Linked DNA regions of Schizosaccharomyces pombe. The gene in region 4 interacts genetically with the main gene of each other region. Each region holds a gene or a part of one and is shown on either strand. Other genes may lie near its edges. The genes, in order: plb1, vrp1, rsv2 and ubp11.

Region 1 (4,770 bases), on a different chromosome or scaffold from region 4:
ATACCTATATCAAAAGCAAAGCCTCAACTTAAAGTTAACTCGGATCCCATTTCGTTTAGACTTAAAGCATAAAATGCACACTTGCTAAATAATTTTGCAAAACACGTAACTCACAGTCATCGGATTAGAAAGTAAAGCCCGAGGCCGAGCAAAACCCGCGCAACTACTACAATTTTTTTCTCCCATTACTCGTTGTGATGTATTCTATACTGTCTCATCTACATCCCCACTACTTCATTGATTAAATTGCGTACAGTTGATATAATTTGTAAATGATCGTATAATCTGTTTTACGTTAACTAAATTTTTTCATTTCTACATCTCCTTCCTCATCCTAATTAATGAATTATAGGCTGTATGTTAAAGTTCACTATTCCTTGTTCAAGTATAGCAAACCTTTAAAAATCAAATTTTATCATACAAAATATATACATATAAATAATAATTTTTTGAATCAAACAAAACAAAAAAATTACAGTCAACTTATTTATATAGACAAACAACATTCTTATTACAACCAAGAATTAAAAAAATGACTTATTTTCGCAACTATATATAACAGCAACTCTCATAAACAACTAGAACACGTCCAATTTGGAGCCGTCAACAAAACTGAATTACAGCAAACGAAAGCTCACAATAGAAAATGAACAAAAAACATTCCGAAGAGAGGGTAAATTAGAATAAAATACTTTCGGAAGATAACAAAATAGTCTCCCTAATTAGAGCGGAGTGAACGTTCAGTTTAATAATCCGTTAACAAAAACCCATATCGCGTAATTGGATTGATTCACATATATGGCTAGGTTTGATTTATGCTAAGACAGCAGACATTGTATAGATTTTTTTTAAAAACTTTTTTCCAGGCATAAGCATTGCCCTCTATCTTTTGCTTGTGAGCAACAGATATGTCGTATAAATACTGAAGAGAGAAAAGTTTGCATGCGCCTTTCCTTAAATGCCTTCACCAAGACGGCAAGTAGGATTGTAGACAATATCATCATTAGCAGCGCTGTCATCATAAAGACCGCTCCAGCAGTAGTTATAGTAGCATTGTTGGCACTCGGGGCTAGCAGTGATGTTGTTACGCTCCAAAGTACGCTTAACAACGGCACAGGCAAAACATTGACCAAAGTAGGTGTCATTGTCAACGGTAGAGGAAATAAGGCCGTTGGTAAGAAGTTGTTGAATCATGTCTTCAGTGTAGTAGGTGCGATCAGTGGAAATGTTAGTGAAGTAGTTGTAAGGAACGTTGGGAAGATAGATAACCAAAGGAGGAGTGTCACGGGTAACAGTGTGGTTACCAGCAGTGGTGTTACGACCATCACAACCAAAGAAGACAGGGCGATCGTTGAAGTGAAGACTGACAAAGGATTGTTGGCTAGGAACGTAGGGGAAACCCTTAACATTGGTGTTTCCGGCAGCTTGGGCAGCAACGACACGCTCATAAGTTTGGACAAGAGAGTTACCGTTGGGCCAGAGCCATTCACTGTCATCACCATTGTCAACGGCAACGATAACATCGACATCACGACCCTTTTGCAACAAAGGCCACAAAGGAATCTTCTCACCAGTAAGGAAGGTATCAACTAAGTTAAGGGAAGAGCTGGAACCCAAGTTGTTGGCAGCATCAGAATTAGCACTCTCAACACCTTGGAAGGGGTTGGGAATGGAGATGATTTGTTGACCGTTTTCAGAAAAGTTACCTTTCAAGTATTGTTGGATGATACGACCGTTCTTGGTAGAAGAGTCATTGAAGTTACGCATTATCTTGTTGAAGTAAGTAGAAGAAGCACCCATCATGAAACCAAAGTTGTCATAGTTGATAACGCAAGAACCATTGCTGCTAGCACCATTGTTTAAGGTAGTACCCAAGTATTCGGTAGGAATAAAGGAGTTGATTCCATGGTCAAAGGTACCGAAAACGTTGGGGGAAGCTTCAAAGAAAGTAGTGTTAACATTGCTAATATCCTCACCATAGTTTTGGGTAGCAAAGGTAATGATGGGGTAAGGGAAGTTGGCATTGCGGTACCATTCTTGGGAAGTAATACTAGACAAAGAGACATTAGGGAAACCATAAGTAGTGTCACCAAGGGTACGAGAAATCACACGTCCCCAGTAATCGGAAAGACTGATGTTAAAGCCAGCATTGGCCTTTTCGGCAACTTCATTCATAATAGAACTGTAGAAATGAGCGTTGAAAACAATAGCACTCTTGGGATACATCAAAGGGTGGTTGAAAGCCCAAAGTTTGCTAAAGTCGTTAATGGTACTGAAATTGTTGAGAGCAATGCCACCAACAGTCCAGGCACTACCATCAGTACCAACGAGATAGTCAGAGGCTTGAAGGAGACCAGTCAAAACAGTGTGGTTGTCGTGACGAGCATCCATGGCAGAGAGGGCACCAGAACCCAAAATCATGGCACGTAAACCACCACCGGACAAGGCAATACCGATAGAAGGACCTTCAGAGCCAGAAAGAGTATCGGCATTCAAACCAGGCAAGTTGGCGTTACGAAGGAAGTCCTTCATGGCAGTGTTGGTAATAGTAGAACGAGTGCTCAAGTATTCAGACTCGGCGCTAGGAATCTCATTGCTGGAGAGACTCTCGACAATGTTATCAGAGGGACAGTCCACATAATAAGGAGCGTAACTGGGTCCCTCTTGCTTAGTGCTATGCTTCTTGGCACGCTTGAAGACCTTGACAGAACCATCGTCTTCAGCAGCGGGAAGAGCAAGGGCAGAAAGGCAGGATGCCAAAAAGAGCATCCACAGGCTTAATCCGCGGAAAAGCATTTTGAATATTTAAACTAAAATGTTGAGAATAGATATGCAAAGATGTATGCAAATTAAATCCCCAAATGAACGTTCAAAGTTGGGAGTGGGACGGAAAGGGTATATAAGAAAAAAAATTTAATAAACGTCACACGAGTGTATTACTTTCCGAATGACACCCAATCAAGATCTCGGACTGATACTATTCCGTAAGTCGGAGAGGAAAAAGTGGTAAAGTAACAAAAACCTAGAATTTGCAAATAGTGGACGAAAACACAAACCCCACAATAGATAGAACTAAAGAAGGCAGGAAAACGGGACTAAAAACAAAATGAAAGAACCTGGCAAACGAAGTTTAATGCAAAGGTTCAAAATGAATAAAATCTTTTCCCTAAAGGATAAATAATAAATATTCAAAAGGAAGATGTAGGAAAGTGCTAAAAGTACAACGATTTAAAAAGTCCACGACGACCTTTTTTTGTTTGAGTGAGTAATAAGAAAGAGAAAATTAAAAAGGAATAACGACGAGAAAACCGGAAATCGCACCAAAGGATACACTAGGAAAGAAAAGTGTGATGATGATACGAGAAATTATGATGAAGGAATGAGGGAATCACTGAAAAAAGAAATTAAGCCAAATCACAGTGTTGGATCGTAAAATATGTTTTTGGATTCAACTAATGCGAAAACGCTCTCTAACCGAAAGAGTGTTAGTGTTTTCTTTTTTGGGGTATTTTTCAAAGAGCTAAGAAAAAGGGAGCAATCACAAGAAAGGAAAATGCAAAATTCCTCGCTTGGATGGATTAAGATTTAAATAAAAGTAAGGAAGATGATTAGGGATTCCAAAAAACGGAATTTTTTGTTTTGAAACAATGAACAGATCAAGGAAAGTTGTTTGATTGCGATGGTGGTGAAAATGCCTGTGCACCAGCACCACTTATATACCTGGGACCAGTCGCTCGGAACAAGGTTTCAGTGCATACAGTCTATAATTTTACATGGATTATACAAAGAAAAATAAAATAAATCATTTTATGTATTTTATTTTCAAGTTTTTGATTCTCATTTTTTTGACTTCAACTTGCATCTACCCCACAATCTTGACAGAATCCATGTCTGGGGCCCCGTGAGTACCGGCAACTGACCCTCTAAAAATTAGGAAGCAACTGCAACATTGGTCCAGAGCTGCGACGATGTATCCAAGCAACTGGAGTAATAGTGGGATAGAGTTATCATCAAAATAACGCTGCCCACAAGAAAGGATGGGATGTTTGTCTACTGGCAAAAGGTACACTGGGGAAAAATACAAACACTCTACTCACCGTTTAAACCCTTCTATACTACCGCTGGTCAGACAAGCTTCTAATTTTTTTACGGATTCTGTTGTAAATTGTTAGAATTCTTGTTTTTTCTTCGTTGTTCGTCAGTTTAACCCCGCCAAAACCCAAAAAAAAGTGTTTGAAACACTATTCTAAAGGTGTTCGCCCCTCACCATTCCGGTAAGAAATCAGGCAAGTATCCGCTCAAAAGTTTGGCGGGGAAGAAGGAAAAGAGCCTAAAGTCGGACGAACAAATGCGGGGTGGTGTAGAGGAACGCAGTCTAGAACAATGGAGGAACACATGCGCAGTGCAAAAATGTCTACCGCAAGAGCAAGAAAATTTTCGCACCAATTATTAGTTAAATGAGGAGCATCACATGAAAAAGTGGGACATATCCAATCACCTCTCAGTATTTTGTTCACTTTGCTCCCCTCGTTTTCCCATAGTGTGGAGAACATTCATGAAAACCAAACCTTCCGCCAATCAAATTACGGTTTGAAAAATTCTACGTTTCTATTCGCCGTCATTCGGAACAAGCGAGCTTCCACCTTTTACGTTGACATCATTGAAAAATGGAGATAATGGGGTTAAGGAAAGTGTGGGGCTAACCTTCCAAGTTACCTTTCCCTCCATGACGTGGAGTACATTTAGGCTCGTAAACTAACGTGCGTACGT
Region 2 (6,092 bases), 1.4 Mb from region 4:
TTTTGGGGTAGTTTTTTCTTCTTTTATCGAGATAATTGGCCGTATAAAAGGTGGCAGAACCAACACCAACAGCAAATGTAATCGGTTTCCATAATGGTGTTGGTTTAATATTTTCAATTCTGATCCATGGTCTGTAATAAAACCTTTTTTGTCCAAATTTCCAGAGTAAACTTTGAAAATTCAAACGATTCATCTGCGTATTAAATATATGTGAGAAAAGGTGAGTAAGGACTATGAGGTTGTATGCATAGAAACGCTAGTGTTGCCTAAGATAGAGAAATAAGAATCCGCTTACGCTTCTCACAGTACCTTAAGATCTTTACCAATATTTATTTAACTTCAAGCAATTTAAGTTATTTCTTTATATATTCTGTCTTACTTTTTATTCTCCTAATTACGTTACTTGCATAATCTTATATAAATATATATGCCAAACAATGTTTTTAACAAGTTAATTAACATAAAAAGATTTAATGAACCATATAGTCACGATTCATTAATCATTTGCTAAACTTGCAATGCTCGAGATAAACTAGAGAATTTACTAGTAAAAATTGTTATAATATATATTAAACTAAAAAGTCCAAATACCATATACAGAAGCAAAGTTCAATTTACTATTTTTAATTTTATTTTAACGCTCTTCATTTCCAAACCATTAAAAAAGAACAAAAAAACAAAATAAAATAACAAACAATTAAACCCGATTAAATTCTCTGTAGACCTTTAAAATATATGCTAGTATGCATATTTGCAGTGATATTTCTTTCCCCCCCCCCCACTTAAGTACTCCATGTGGGTTAAACTTAATCTTTGATAAATACCATTTCCCAAACAGCTAACGCCCAAGTGTTTTCAGTTATTCGCCATGGGATGTCCAAATTGCGGTTCAACTACTTTTGAATCTGATACCGCTTCTGGAAATACATATTGGTAAGTTGTTTTTTTTATTATATAATTTTAACGTGGCAATTGACTGCTAACCATTGAATAGTACACAATGCGGTGTTGTCGTCGAGCAAGATGCAATTGTTTCGGAAGTGACATTCGGAGAGGCTTCAACTGGTGCAGCTGTTGTTCAGGGTTCTCTTGTGAGTAATGATCAAAGTAAGTTAGAAGGCAATCATCCAGCAATGCGGTGTTTTACAGTTCTGATGCAGTCACCTTTTTTTGTTCAGTCTGTGTTAAATTTTGGTTTGATCTTTTACTAATAGACACCTCTTCGTCCATATTTTTCATCGACTTATATCTAACACAGCTTTAGCTCATGCTCGGACTTTTGGTGGCCCTTACAGAAATCAAGGATCCGTAGAATCCAGAGAACTTACCATTGCAAACGGACGTCGCCGAATTTCGGCATTGGCAATTGCTTTAAAACTTAACGAACGCCATATCGAAGCAGCAGTTCGCTACTTTACACTGGCAATTAACAACAACTTTATAAAAGGAAGGAGATCGCAATACGTTGTTGCATCCTGTTTGTATATTGTTTGCCGGATATCTAAGACGTCTCATATGTTAATCGATTTTTCTGATATTTTGCAAATTAACGTTTTTAAGCTTGGGTCTACTTTTCTCAAGTTGTGCCGCGTTTTAAGGCCTAATTTACCTCTTTTAGATCCGTCTTTATATATCAGTAGATTTGCTTCTTTACTCGAATTTGGACCGGAAACACATCGTGTCGCAAACGACGCTATCAGATTGGTAGCGCGAATGAATAGAGACTGGATGCAAATTGGTCGTCGGCCAGCTGGAATTTGTGGTGCATGCTTACTCATTGCAGCAAGAATGAATAATTTTCGACGAAGCGTACGAGAAGTGGTTCATGTCGTGAAAGTTGCGGATATCACTATTCAAAAACGCCTTGATGAGTTTAAATTAACTGAGAGCGGTGATCTTTCAATCGCCGACTTTCGAAACATTTGGCTGGAAGGACAGAGCGATCCTCCTAGCTTTACTAAAAATCAAAAGTTTCAACAATACGGTGCTCAAAAAGTTTCAAACATTGATCACACACAAGAATACATGTCCCCTATTAAAAGGACCCCGGATTTTGATGGCAACGAAGTTAAGTCTGAAGAGCTTTCGCAAACAGTAAAAGTTGAATCTCAAGAAACTCCTGTGCATTTGAAGGCCGATGAAAGAGAAATTAGGAAAGAGGTTACTGAAACCCTTAAGGGCGATGAACTTAGAAAGATTTCTCTACAAGTTAACGTTAAATTTTCGGAGGAAGAAGTTACCTTAGAAGACGTTGATGATGATGAAATTGAAGATATTTTGCTTGACAAGGATGAAATATTGACTAAAACTCAAGTTTGGATGGAGTTGAATAAAGATTATTTAGCTGAGGAAGAGGCGAAAAATTTAAAACTCCAAGAAGATTTAAAAAAAGGAATTGTCCGACAACCTCGTAAAAGAAGACGATATCGTCCTAGAGATAGCACTAGTGATGGAATAGCCGATACTGCTGCTGAAAGTGCAAAAGAAATGATGCAACAAAGAGCTTTTTCAAAAAAAATCAACTATGAAGCTTTGGATATGTTATTTGACGAAGAGCAGTCGTAACTTTTTACTAAATTTGGGCAATTGGGAGTTTTTTGGGGCTATTTAAGAACATTCGTTTTTTTGTTGTACGATAATCCTTTTTTATACATTAATTTATTAATTTTAGAGTTTATTTAACGATTTATTTATAAGGATTAATGAATCTTTATAAATAATTTTAATATTCATAAAAAAGGCCGCATGAATTTTTAGTTTTTTTCTATCACTGAGTAATTATTAGTATCCATCTAACGAAAGAAAATTCTGTGTTTAACAACTAAACACTGGTAGTAGATTAATCGTACACAGCTTTAAAAAGATTTGTTAAAATGAAGAGAGATTCAAAGGGACCGTAGTGCCACTACCACCCCGATAAACTTTAGGGACTCCAAGAAAGGGATGAGGAATTGGTAAGTAACTATCATCCTTAAAGTGGAATCTTCCATGATCATCAACTAGAGTTTTGTGTTAATAAAAAAATAATGCTTTTAATGATCGCAAACTTACCACGATTAGGTCGCTGCTGCAAGACGTAAGAAGATGGAGGAACTGGAGGAACAGAAGCTGAAGGAATGGATGGACCTCTATTAGGAAATTTAGGAGATTCTGATGTAACGTTAGGTGCATGTCCTGCTGGTGGAGCAAAAGAAGAAGGGCGTGATGATGTATTAGCAACAGGAGCTTGAGATAGAGGAGGTGGAGGAACTTTAGGTGGCATCGGAGGTACCGCTGAGGGCAATGAAGGAGCTGAAGGAGGAGATTTCACCGGTGCAGCAGGTTGTGCAGGTGGAGGTAGAGACGATGGAATAGGAGGTGCCTTTGAAGGAATAGGTGGAGCAGATGCAGGAGATGGTGGAGGAATTGAAGGTCGAGGGGGCGCACTTGTTGGCGGACGCAACTCAGATTGTGGAGTAGGAGGAGCAGGAGCGGAAGGTGGTGCGGCTGAAGCACTTGACTTTCCAATATGACGAAGCTTAGGCATGCCGCCAGCAAATAAACCTCCTAATGCAGGCATGGAAGGTCTCTCTTCTGCTTGCTGAGTATTATTTGAAGAAGTCGGTAAAGAGGGTGCGCCTGTGGGTACAGGAGGAGCAGCAAAGCTTTTTGGAGTGTTAGATTTACGTTCGCCTACGACACCTCCTCCGACAACGGGAGCCGATCGGTCGTTCGTTGTAGCTTTTTTTAGTTTCTTTCCTTTCTGGATAGAATTGAGCAGAGCTGATCGATCTCCGGTCATTAGAGGGGGGGCCGGAGCAGCAGCAGCAGGCGCTGGTGCTGGAGGAGGAGGCGGTGGTGCAGGTGCCATTTTATAAGAAGGAAGAATTAAAAATCAAAAATAAATCTTAACAAGCTTGAGGTCTGTAATCAAAATAGTAGATAATTCGCCTGTACACCTAACAATACAATAAAAGTAAAAGTTAAATTATCAGATTTTAAATGATTTTACAAAAAATATTCGCTATATACTTTGACAATAATAAATATAACTCAAAATATAAAGTGGAAACACGGGTATGGGTTTTAACTATGAGCTACCCTAAGCTTTCTACCACCACCATGCACTACAAGTAACAGGATTGTACCTTCTAGTGATTATTCAATTTAATGCATCTTAGTACAACACCATACGTATTCTGACCGGAACCAATCTGGAAAGTTTAGACTGGTGAATTTTTGAGGAATTTAAATAGATTTAATGTCGGATTCTAAAGAAGACATCCGCAACGGTCAAGAGGAAGATGATTTGTTTAGTGAGAATGAAGACAATCATACTTCGCAGCAAGATGAACTTATAAATGGCCATATAGAAAACGATAGTGAAACAGCCGTTAGCGATGACGGCTTGTTTTCGAATACAGAAGAGGCTACTGAAGCCCCTGAAGCAGAGTAAGTTGCAGTCTTATAGATGAAGCGAATTGATTCTAGCCGATGGTAGTTCTAAATGTGTATTTATTATACAGCTGCCACAGTGGTGAAAGTAATAAATCGCTTCATGAGGCTTTTTAGTAAAAAATCAAAAATTAGCGTCTTTTACTATAGCAAGCTATTTAAATCTATGCATCCTAACAAATGTTAGTGTTCCTGTAAAGAAAGTCCTTGAAGTCGCTGTTCCCAATTTCAAATCACCAGCTTCTGCTAGTAATGACGTGTTTCATGCTCATATTCCAAATTTCCTTTCTGTGGAACAGACTCCGTACGATCCAGAGCAGTACGCCGCGGAAGCCGAAGCAGATGCAGCTTTATTAGAACACGACGCGCATTGGGGTCAAAGAATAAAACATAAAGTTGATAATACTGTCCGCTGGCGATTGGGGCCGTCTGGAAGCTATCAATCGAATGCGCAAATTGTACAATGGTCTGATGGTTCATATTCACTTCGCATTGGTAACGACATATATGATACCCAAAATAAATTAATATCTCAACCAACTTTTGTTACTGCCTCACATGAAGCACAACATTTACTGAGAGTTCAAACATCCTTCAAAAGCAGTTTTACATTCCTCCCTTCAGCCATTAACACTGCTACAAGATCAAAATTGCCATCTATGCGTCTCACCACAGTCCAGGTTCCTAGTCGAAGCGTACAAGAAATTATTATTGAAAAGGATCCAGAACTACTAAAGCGTCAGGCTGAAAAATATGAGGAGGAACGAAGTCGAGCTCGGCGACGTTTAGAGAAAAGAAAGCAATTGAACAATTATCAGAATGGAACAGGAGAAGAAGAAGAGGATTACTCTTCCTTCTACGGTCCCCGTTCTACTTATAGCGAACAAAATGAAATCATTGACAGTGACCGTATGGATCGTTTAAAACGAATTAAACAAGAAGGAGCTGGTCAATATCGTGGTTATAATAAGGATCTGGAAGAAAATGAAGAAGATGACCTTGGTGACTTTATAGCGGAAGAGGAAGAGGAAGAGGAACAAGAAGAGGAACAAGAAGAAGATGAAGAGGATGAAGAAGAAGTTGGAGCTGGCTCCGATATAAAAGGATTTGATGCGGATAAAGAAGCAAGTGTAGCACGAGCTACTATTAATAAATATGAAGACGATGAGGTAATTCCTAGCGCAGTGGAAACTGACAGATCCGAGACCGTTACAGAGACTTCTGTCGGTGATGGTTCTGTACAAAGAAGAGTGAAGCGTCGGATTGTTGAGAGCGATAGCGAATAAATCCAAACAGCTTGTAATTCAATTTTTGTAAATAGCCAATTTGTTTGTTTGCGAAGTATGGTCTCTGTGTTATTTCGTTGATTTAAAAGATGTTTATTAATTGTACATTATTCTTATATCTTGTCTAATTTTTAACGCAATGGGATTCACATGTACAATAGCGAGAATTGTAGTGAGCAACTATATAAAATAAAACTACTTTTTTTAAAGCAAATATGGCGGATTAGGTGTTGAGATGTATTTCTGTGATCATTAAAGCGTGATATGAGTTCCTACCACAAACTATCATATCGGTTACCTTTGGAAGAGCCTGCTTGACCGTTGTTAATATAAGAGTAAGCAGAACGGCTAGAATTGTTTAGCCCTCCACGA
Region 3 (4,581 bases), 1.9 Mb from region 4:
ATATTGAATGGTAAGTTTATTAATTGTTCCACTCATCGACTAAATAATAAAGTAGAAAGACGAGACATTTATGTGTATGCTAGAACACACTGGAATCCATTTGTTCACGAGTTGTTCTCGTAATAACATAATGATTGGTATTGCCGTGTGTGAATGCCAGTGATTATTGATGTTTGAAAGACTACAACTGATAAAAAGATAGTTGCACTAGTGATAAAAGTCTGTTGAAATTGGTATGCTCTAAAAGTCATTTGTACTTGAGTAAGCAGTCATATGCGTGTTGGCTATCCATCTGTTTGACTTGTTTGAAAATAATACACATGGGTTATGCTTTTCACAAGAAAGTAGAATAATTGATTCCTACATCTGCATCATCCATATCGATCGGTAAAGTATACTTTATCCTACGAATTGGTTTCATAGTTAAATCACTCCTCTGCTTAGCAGCTCCGCATCCCCTTCGTGTACTAGCCAATCTCATCGACATCGACAAATTGACTTCACCTGAGTTAAGCATACTTAATTCAACTTAACGAAGTGCAACCCACCACGACTGACCTCTGTAATCTCGGAAAACGGATAAGACGGTTCAGTACGTTCGCTAGTAAGAAGCATGCATGCAAAGGTACAAGAGCAGGCTTCCCATGCAAACTGAGAAAATAATCCCTGAAGAATTGCTAGTAAGCCAAATTGCAGCGCCTCCAAACATCCTTCTATTAAGGACCAGAAAGAATGATGCTGATGACTAATTTTTGGGTTATGCAAGAAGCATCTGGCATTTTCTTTAACTTCTCCACGAATAAGGAGAAGGTCACACGACGGAAGCGTGGAATAATGATGAGTTTGATCGTCGGTAAACTCCCCCAGAGTAGCGAAGATCATCGGCATCGAAAGAAAGAAGGGAAGGAAAAAAAAAAGTAAAAACGACTTGATGAATTCCGTGATCATGTAGGGTAACGGAAGACGAGATTACCGAGTTTAAGTAAGCAATCGAGGTCTGCATTGCGATGCCGATATGGTGATCGGGAACATGAAGCACTTGATTGACTTGAACATGTAGGGAGGAAATTTTTTTAGCGTTTTTAGACTTTTCATTTAGCTGCTATCTTAGGAGTAGCGTGACACGGCGCAAACGAAAAACAAGACATTTGTTGTACCAAACATCCTCAATTCCATCGCATCTCTAAAGTACGAGTAACTAGAGTAAGATGCAAATCAACGTCGTGATATGACCTAAAAGTATCGTGGACTTGATTCATCCTTCAATCTCATCTTTCCCCGACTCCGCCTCTTCATTTTGACCTCATTCTATGATTGCTTTTGGAATGAAGCTTGCAGCGTATTCCTTCATTAGTGCGTTATGACTAACCGCGATATATAAGGTGATTTAAGTACTGGAAGCTCGCTTTCCATATGAGAGGACAGCGTAGAGCGCAAGTCGCAGATTGAAGGAATGTAATTGGGGTTCGCTTACACATTACGCGCTTTTATTTGAAAAGAACGAATCAGCAGCACTGCCAGCGCATTCTGACATTTCCATGCTACTTCATTGGCGGCCTCTGATTGGCTCAATCAATGTAAAACGACGTCAATTGCTAACCAATGTTGTTTGACAAGGGTGGTTTTTTCAATCAGACGCTTGACGTCATTCTTTATATATACATTGCCTCGCGCATCTTTGCTGGGTAGTATGGACACTACAAACAACACATATGCAAGATCAATTTCTAGTAATGGGAACGATAACTTTCCCACTCCAGATTGGCAATTTAATGGATCCCAATTGCAACAAAATCGTAAATCCAAAATGAATGGTCGCTCTGTGACTAATGTATTTCCGAATGCATTCTCGGATGCTGAATTCGAGCAAATCTCGATGCCCGAACTCAATTTAAAGCGTTTTAACCCTACTACGTTAGAAGAAAATAACTCAGATTTATCTGATATGTCCTCCTGGGACTATATGATGAACGTTCCCATTCGTGTCTACAACGATGCTGACACAATGGACCCCTTCTCCCTCGACACTATTCCCGATTCCTCGATGGACATGCCATTTGATCCCTTAGCATCTGACTATGGTAACGCTGCTAACTTTCCAAGTGTCCCTTCGTCCCTTGGCAGCAATCATCAATTTATCACCACACCTCCTGTCAACGGGTCGAACGAACCTACCTCGGCTCAAACGAATCACATTATTACTGCTAACAGTTCCCCCAGTGGAAATGCTGGGAGTAACGCATCTGCAAGCATGTCCGTCCCTCCTCCTCTTACTCCATCTGCTTCCACCATTAATGACCAGCCCTTCTCCAACTCTTTCGATTTACCTAGTCAGGTGATTGCTGATGGCACTGGCGCGATTTCCGACATCAACGGTAATCCATTTCCCATGAATTCTCCACCTTTGGATATGGAACCGTTGCCCTCGATATCCATGGATGCAAGTGACTCTGTCTCCGAACAACTTGTAAAGGACGCCTCTCTTCCTAGTGGTCCTTTTTCAACCGATTATTTGGAGAATGGAAGTGACTTAAAAAGGTCACTGGGTCACAATCAAAAGTCAGACAGAGTCTCAAAAGATGTCTCACCTCAACACCAAGCAAATCCCTCTACCCTTAACAATCCTCTCAAGACCCAAAATTTTGATTCCTCTAAGAACCTTTATACCGACAACAAGGATTCCTCCCTTGTATCTCCAACGGGACTTCAATCCCGTATGGAACAAAATCCGGAAGTGCGGGCGCATCCTATGAAGGACTCGGCGACGAGCACTGCGTTACGCCGTTCTCATGCTCTGGGAGCTGCTGCTGACTCTCTTCTTCCTCAAGAAAACTCCGCTCAGATATATGATGGGAAGGATGTATCTATGGTCAATGATAACATGCACTCCGATGTTCGGCAGGACAGCTTCAATAAAGAATCTATTAAACAACGCATCCCTTCTTTGTCTCCTCCGATAACGCGATCATACAATGCCAAGCATCGCCCCTCCTTGGTGCTTGGTACGTCGGTAAATCCACATTCACTTTCTCCTTCACAGCCTCCTGTTGTCGTACCTTCAAATACTACGATCAGCTCCTCTCCTCCACTCACTTCTCCTGTTAAAACCTCTGCTAATATACCTAACTTATTACCGACTTCAGAGTTAGACAGTTCCAACGCTCCTCACTCTCAATCGGCTGCTACTCATGACCTAAATGACGTTAAGTCGTATTACAATACTAGGTCTTCTCATTCCGTGGTACCTAATCCAACCAACCAAAAAGTAAGCATCACCGGTGCTGCTGCTGATGGCCCCAACGGATCTGCTCCTGTTGACACCACTCCTACAAATTCTTCTACTACTGCTACGGGTGCTCAGAGGAAGCGTAGGAAGTTTAAATTTGGTAAACAAATTGGTCCAGTTCGGTGTACTCTTCAGAACAGAGTTACAGGAGAAATTTGTAACACAGTGTTTTCTAGGACGTATGATTTGATCCGTCACCAGGATACGATACATGCTAAGACACGACCTGTATTTCGATGTGAGATTTGTGGCGATCAACGCCATTTCAGTAGACATGATGCCTTGGTTAGGCATCTCCGTGTGAAACACGGTAGATAAATTGAAAGGAGTCTCTTCTGCCACAAATATTAAAAAAAGGTTATTGCATTATCTATTGTCATTTTTCACCTCTTACGCTTCTTCATTGATTCCTTGTTTATGAATTTTAAAAAAAGTTGCATTTTGCTAATTATTTTCAAGAAAAAAATTGGTACCGTTATTATTTCACAGCCCTTTTGAAAGTGCTTTTTCCTTTGTCTCCTTTCATGTACATTTATCATCTTAATTTTGCCTCTTCATTTCATCGTATCCTCAAGCTTCATGTGTAATTTCAAACCCCTTCTCCGTCTAACGGTTTCCTTTTTTATTTTGGACGGTCATAAGTGTTTTTATATTTTGTTTTCATTTTTATTGGGATTGGTTAATATTGTTTTTTTTTTCTTACCAAGTTACTGTTAAATGTTAATAAAAAATTTTGTGTGTTTTCACCTTAAATTGAATACCTATCATGTAATTTGATTTAGTTTTACATACTTAAATTTTAATATTAGTAAGTAGTATTTGTAATTTAGAAATATTTTTTCTGCCGGTATTAATTATTATTGTTTTTCAGTTATGTTAGGTATAGACGCGGCCTCTAGCAATCAAAGACGGTGGATCAAGGTCTGTAGTAAATCGATCAATCCATAGGTTACCTGTCTCTGAGATACATATGCGTAGTGGTTGATTGACAAACGCGGGAGATAATAATCGAAACTCAAATCTTTTCATGTTCTTTGACATTTGGGGATAAACAGAACGAAAGTACTCTAACATACTAGTCACTAGAAGAGGACCTGGAAGAACGAGATTTGGATAATTTTCGGACTTTGTAGCGTATGTCGCATTCCAATGGATCATATGAGCATTAAACATTAATGCTGAATAGCGAAACACCATAATAGGTGTAGGTGTGAATACCCAAGAGTGTTGTGGAATACTTTTGCTACGTAAAGTTTTTGGTATAGCCAGTTCTTGTCGATTTAAATAGGCTAATG
Region 4 (4,669 bases):
TGAGTATATGATAAAAGACTGACCATCAGATTGCGGAGCGCGTAATACAATCCAAGCGAAAGAAGTTATTCGTTGTCGAGAGTGTGGGCATCGTGTTATGTACAAAATGAGAACCAAGAGAATGGTTCAGTTCGAAGCACGCTAAGTTTTAGAGTTTTCAGACTATGAAAAGAGAAAAACGGAATTATAACTTTTAAAATTTGAGAAATGGCTTAAAAATGGTGTAATATGCAGGTCCTTATGCTTAATTCGAGAAATTAGAAGGTCCTGGGGTTAAATGGATAACCCATGACAATAATAACATTTTGGATATTTGATGCATTAAAAACTGTGAATTGTACATGATGAGTATATCTAAAATTTTTTTTAGTAAATTATAAGTCATTTGGCGACGGTTTGAAAGTGCCATGTGTACTTTAACCATGCCTATAAAAAATCGTCCACTTGAAAATCTTAAAGTCAAGAAAACCGATTTTATGGACAGATACGGTGGATACATACATACATATATTTTCATACACAAGTTTTGCAAAATATTAGTATTGAATGCTTTAGCTACAAAACAACAGGTTATAATTTGAAGCTTTCAACAGTTTATAAAGGGTGACATCAGTCGGAATCATTAGGAGAAATATCAAGAATTTTTTATTAAGGTACAAAAACGTATACGATTAACTAGCATATATGCGCTAATCAAGCGCAAGAGGAGATTCCATTTCGTAAAACAAAAGACAAGCTGAACGAGTTTGACTGAGAGCTTCATTGAGAGATGATTTAGTAATTAAAGAATCATTAGCCTTCCACCAAATGTCATCTTGAAGTCTATAGCAAAGATAATGACCATAAGTAACACTTCCGGAATGGGTGATTAAGGATCGTAAAATATAATGATGTTTGTTTTTTAGGATAAGTTTGCTAGGAAATGAGATAGAAACATTATTTCTGGTTAAACCTTGGCAGGTATATGATGTTCTCTCAAGTTGAATTTGCAAAATCGTAGGAGGATTTTTCCAATCAACGGTACGAATGCATGAAGTTTTGGAATGTTTTGGGGAGGATTTGAAGCAAGAGTCACATTTATAGTCAGAGATGTGCTGTTCGCGATCGGCTTCCATTAAAGAGAGCAAGGAAACGTTAGAATTTCCACTGTACTCCGGAGGTAGACAAAGCTGTATCGATGTGGCAGTAGAATAACTAATACTAATGGCAAGGCATTGACAACATTGTACCTTTTGCTCCATAGTTCCTATGAATGGCGAATCTACAGGAAAGGAGAGTACCTTCGACCATTTGTAAGTGTGAGGTTTTTGAAGTTCCAAAGTTTCCACTAGATGTTGTAGAAACTCTTGTGCATCTTGTTGAATGGAACGAACAAGTTTTTTATTAGTGGCAATCTCTAATGAATTGAGGAAGGAACCGGGAGTGATTGGATTACCGGGGCCACTATTTAATTTTTGCAGAAGTTCATAAAGGGTAGCGTATAAGGTAGAGGAAGAACAACGGAGTTTTAGGATTTCCAATAATGATTCTTGACTTGCTAGGGATTGCAAAACACAATTGAGGAAACAATCGTTACCCGAAACATTGTAAAGGCCTTTGATGGAGGCGTTTTTCACCAACCTCTTGCCAGTGGAAGGAGAGGTAACGATGTAAAGGGCAGCAAACGTAGTTAAAATGGCGGCACCCTTGAAAACTGTTTTGTATTTTTTTGCCCTAGAAATGGACAATGGCGTTGTAGACATGATAATGAATGCATGCAATGAAGAATTAGGGAAAAGAAATTATTAGAGGTAACAGAGAATATAATTTACAAAAGAAAAAAAAAATTTATGCATAAAAACAAATTTTTTTTGGCAAGGGAAATAAGAATAGAAGACGAGCGTTAAGTCACAGCATATATCCACTAGGTTGTTGTTACTAGCTTTATTGGTATAAACGATAACACGAGTCCAATGGCGGTGAGGTAAAGGACACGATAATAACGTACAATATAGGTATAGTTAGGGAGACGAGGTAATAAGAACCAAACTTTTTGAGCATAAAACAACCTTTTTAGGAAATAATCAGTGATAGGATGAGTAAAAGTTTGAAAGTTTTACAAAGGCAAATTTAAAAAAAAAAACAGTTGTCAAAAAAAGTGTCAGCAATTAGAATGTTGTCGAGTAATGCGACAAAAGACACAAATATTACTTTTTGGGAGGAGGGAGTCAATAAATAAATAGATAAAGTTGAAAGTGGTAGAATGATTTTACCTTTGCAATTTTAGCGATCGCAATAGATGAAATAGGCGATAAGATATGAAAGGATAAAAAAGAAAAAGAAATTAAAAAACGTTAGGAAGTAATTGTAGAGAAATGAAATAGCACAATTTAAAAAAAAAAAAATAAGAAAAGAGAAAAAAAAAGTATAGCGATCCTATCAAAGAGAATAAATTACGATGGAATCAAGAACAAGAAAAAAGGCAAGAGGCGTCTATAAGAAACAGACAAAAGTTTTTTCGAAGAAGAAAAAAAAAGGGATCCAAAAAAGATGGGAGATTTTTTTCACTTGATTATGTGTGAAGGATTTTTTGTAAGGTAAGATTAGACGATGGGGAGGCAGTGCCGATTTGTCGGTATGGATTGTTTTTTGATGGAGAAATTAAGATAAAAGTAAAGGTATTAAAGTTTTTGCAGAGAAAGCTCACTCATTCACAAGTACGACACAAAGCAAATAATTTGCAATCAGATATGTGTATAAAAGAGCAACCTTTAGAGAAAAAAAGCAGGTTGGAAGAGAGGGACAGGAGGGCCAAACCCTCAGCATAAATATGCGCCTGATGAGACGAAAAAAAGGTTTTTTGCATTGGCAGCGACGTTTGTATTTGCCGGCAAGCCCAAGGGGTTGCAATGATGCGTAAAAGCGACGATTGGTGGAAGAAGGAAAAGAATGAAGTTTTATTTGTGCAGCCCTCCGCATACCAGTTAGGGAGATGCAACATGATTTGTTAGGGAGAAGAGAGGGAGGACAAGGAGGACGAGTAGGAAAGAAGGTGAAGTGGAGGAAGAATAGGGAGGAAGAAGGAGAAAGAAGGAAGAGTAAGGAGAGGGAAAGAGAAGGAAGGAGAAGGGAGAAGGAACAAAAGGAAGACGTTGAAGGTATGACAAGAGAACAAGCGGTACATTCTTTTTGTAATGTCAATAACTTTTGAATTTTACTTTTGAATGATTAACCATAATAAATTCATTTGCCAATGCAAAAAAAAACTAGCAAAGGATGGGCAGTTGATGAAGCATATATTCAACGAAGCATAGCAAAAAGTTATCTCTTTTCTCCATCCATCATCGGTGTTTGATGTCTGCCGTCAGTATGTTAGGTGTTGCCTCTGACTGTATATATGGACGGGATTGCAGACAAAGAAAAGAAACAAAAGGGCTTGTCGCATTGTTTACATTCGAGAAAAATTTACGTCACCCAAGAACACGTTGAAGCGATATCAGACACGGCAAATGTCAGTTGTATGATTGGTTAGTTGATGTGAATGGACAGTTTATATTGCGTAAATTGCAAATCAGATGCAATTGATTCATTTCATTGGCTGAATAAAAAAAAAGCATCCGCCAATCCAATACAGTAGTGGAATTGCGGGGTCAGTAAGGAAAACCCGGGCTCCAAGCAGTCAAGTTGCTTATGAAAAGCGTAGCCTATGGTTGATGTAGTGGTTAGGAGTTCGGAGGCTCGACCGTTAATAAGAAAGGTCAAGAATCGTAAGGGTAAAAGAAGGATGAGAATAGCAAAGCTCATAGGTAGAGAAAGACTTGTGCACGCCGAGTGTAAACAAAGAAAGGTGCGCATGCGAAGAACACATGGAGGTCTGGAAAATAAGAAGCGCATGAGTGAGGATATGTGATATGTGAGAGTTGCGTGAGCAAAGCAAAGTAGAACTCATGCCAAAGTCATGGTCTCGTCGCATGAAGGAGATCCATAAGAAAGAAAGAAAGACAAATGATAGAAAAAAAGAAAAGTAAAACAGAGATAGGAAATAGGAAATAGGAGAAAAAAGAAAAGACAAAGAGAAATTGGGTTGATTAGTAGAAATGAAATTGTTCAATCGTCGGACGTTGATTGTCAAACGTTAATTGTCGATTGTCGATTGTCGATTTCTAGTGTCGATTGTATTCTCCTTGATTGTCAATTGTAAAATTTCGTCTTATGTTTTCGTCAACTCTCGCCTATCTCTTAATTGTTAAAATCTATTCTCGTCTATCCGCAAGTACATCCCAAAGACATCAATGGAAAGATGTGGTAAAAATTAATCAACAAATTTTTTTTTTTGAAGTCCAACTTTTCATATCCTTCAAACCTACTTTACAACTCCTTTTCGCACCTCCTTTCCTTTCTTTCCACTCCCCTTCTATATCCCCACTTATTCCCTTCTTTATCAGCTATCTCGCTGTCTACCCTGCGATCGCCGCTACCATCGTACCGTACATTGACATTTGCTAATCTGACAACTTGGTATATTGATGAATGCGCCATTTACAAATTGATCGACTTCCTTACCTTTTCTGCTTTTCTGTCTTTGGCTTGCGTTGCCTTGCTTTACTTTATTTTTTTGTTTTGCATTTCTAATTTTTGTTTTCTTTTTTTCCATTCTTCATCTTTTTGCTTTTCTTCTTTTTTATGTTTT

What was found.
Region 1: mutations in ubp11 (region 4) and plb1 together harm fitness less than expected from each alone (positive genetic interaction), as found in Schizosaccharomyces pombe (one large-scale study listed by BioGRID).
Region 2: mutations in ubp11 (region 4) and vrp1 together harm fitness less than expected from each alone (positive genetic interaction), as found in Schizosaccharomyces pombe (one large-scale study listed by BioGRID).
Region 3: mutations in ubp11 (region 4) and rsv2 together harm fitness more than expected from each alone (negative genetic interaction), as found in Schizosaccharomyces pombe (one large-scale study listed by BioGRID).

Annotation. Positions count from the first base shown.
Region 1 is NC_003424.3:1,073,823-1,078,592, forward strand, and holds plb1 (lysophospholipase 1), read right to left. Parts: upstream 2,872-4,770; 5' UTR 2,797-2,871; coding exon 955-2,796; 3' UTR 509-954; downstream 1-508. Other genes in the region: SPOM_SPAC1A6.11 (uncharacterized protein), read left to right, coding at 1-32. UniProt on the Schizosaccharomyces pombe protein: Catalyzes the release of fatty acids from lysophospholipids. Required for survival under high osmolarity, for normal osmotic stress-induced gene expression, and for nutrient-mediated repression of sexual differentiation.
Region 2 is NC_003423.3:3,053,233-3,059,324, reverse strand, and holds vrp1 (verprolin), read right to left. Parts: upstream 4,061-6,092; 5' UTR 3,851-4,060; coding exon 3,052-3,850; intron 3,000-3,051; coding exon 2,869-2,999; 3' UTR 2,566-2,868; coding exon of another isoform or gene 1,265-2,565; intron 1,250-1,264; 3' UTR 1,108-1,249; coding exon of another isoform or gene 995-1,107; 3' UTR 934-994; coding exon of another isoform or gene 869-933; 3' UTR 522-868; downstream 1-521. Other genes in the region: rbd1 (rhomboid protease), read right to left, coding at 1-193; transcription factor TFIIIB subunit Brf1, read left to right, coding at 869-933, 995-1,107, 1,265-2,565; RNA polymerase II-associated Paf1 complex protein Leo1, read left to right, coding at 4,241-4,431, 4,622-5,720; SPOM_SPBC13E7.07 (uncharacterized protein), read right to left, coding at 5,993-6,092.
Region 3 is NC_003423.3:3,531,241-3,535,821, forward strand, and holds rsv2 (DNA-binding transcription factor Rsv2), read left to right. Parts: upstream 1-1,687; 5' UTR 1,688-1,690; coding exon 1,691-3,604; 3' UTR 3,605-4,048; downstream 4,049-4,581. Other genes in the region: SPOM_SPBC1105.13C (uncharacterized protein), read right to left, coding at 520-948; 3-hydroxyacyl-ACP dehydratase Htd2, read right to left, coding at 4,163-4,581.
Region 4 is NC_003423.3:1,675,835-1,680,503, forward strand, and holds ubp11 (ubiquitin hydrolase Ubp11), read right to left. Parts: upstream 2,771-4,669; 5' UTR 1,743-2,770; coding exon 690-1,742; 3' UTR 518-689; downstream 1-517. Other genes in the region: DNA-directed RNA polymerase subunit Rpc10, read left to right, coding at 30-145.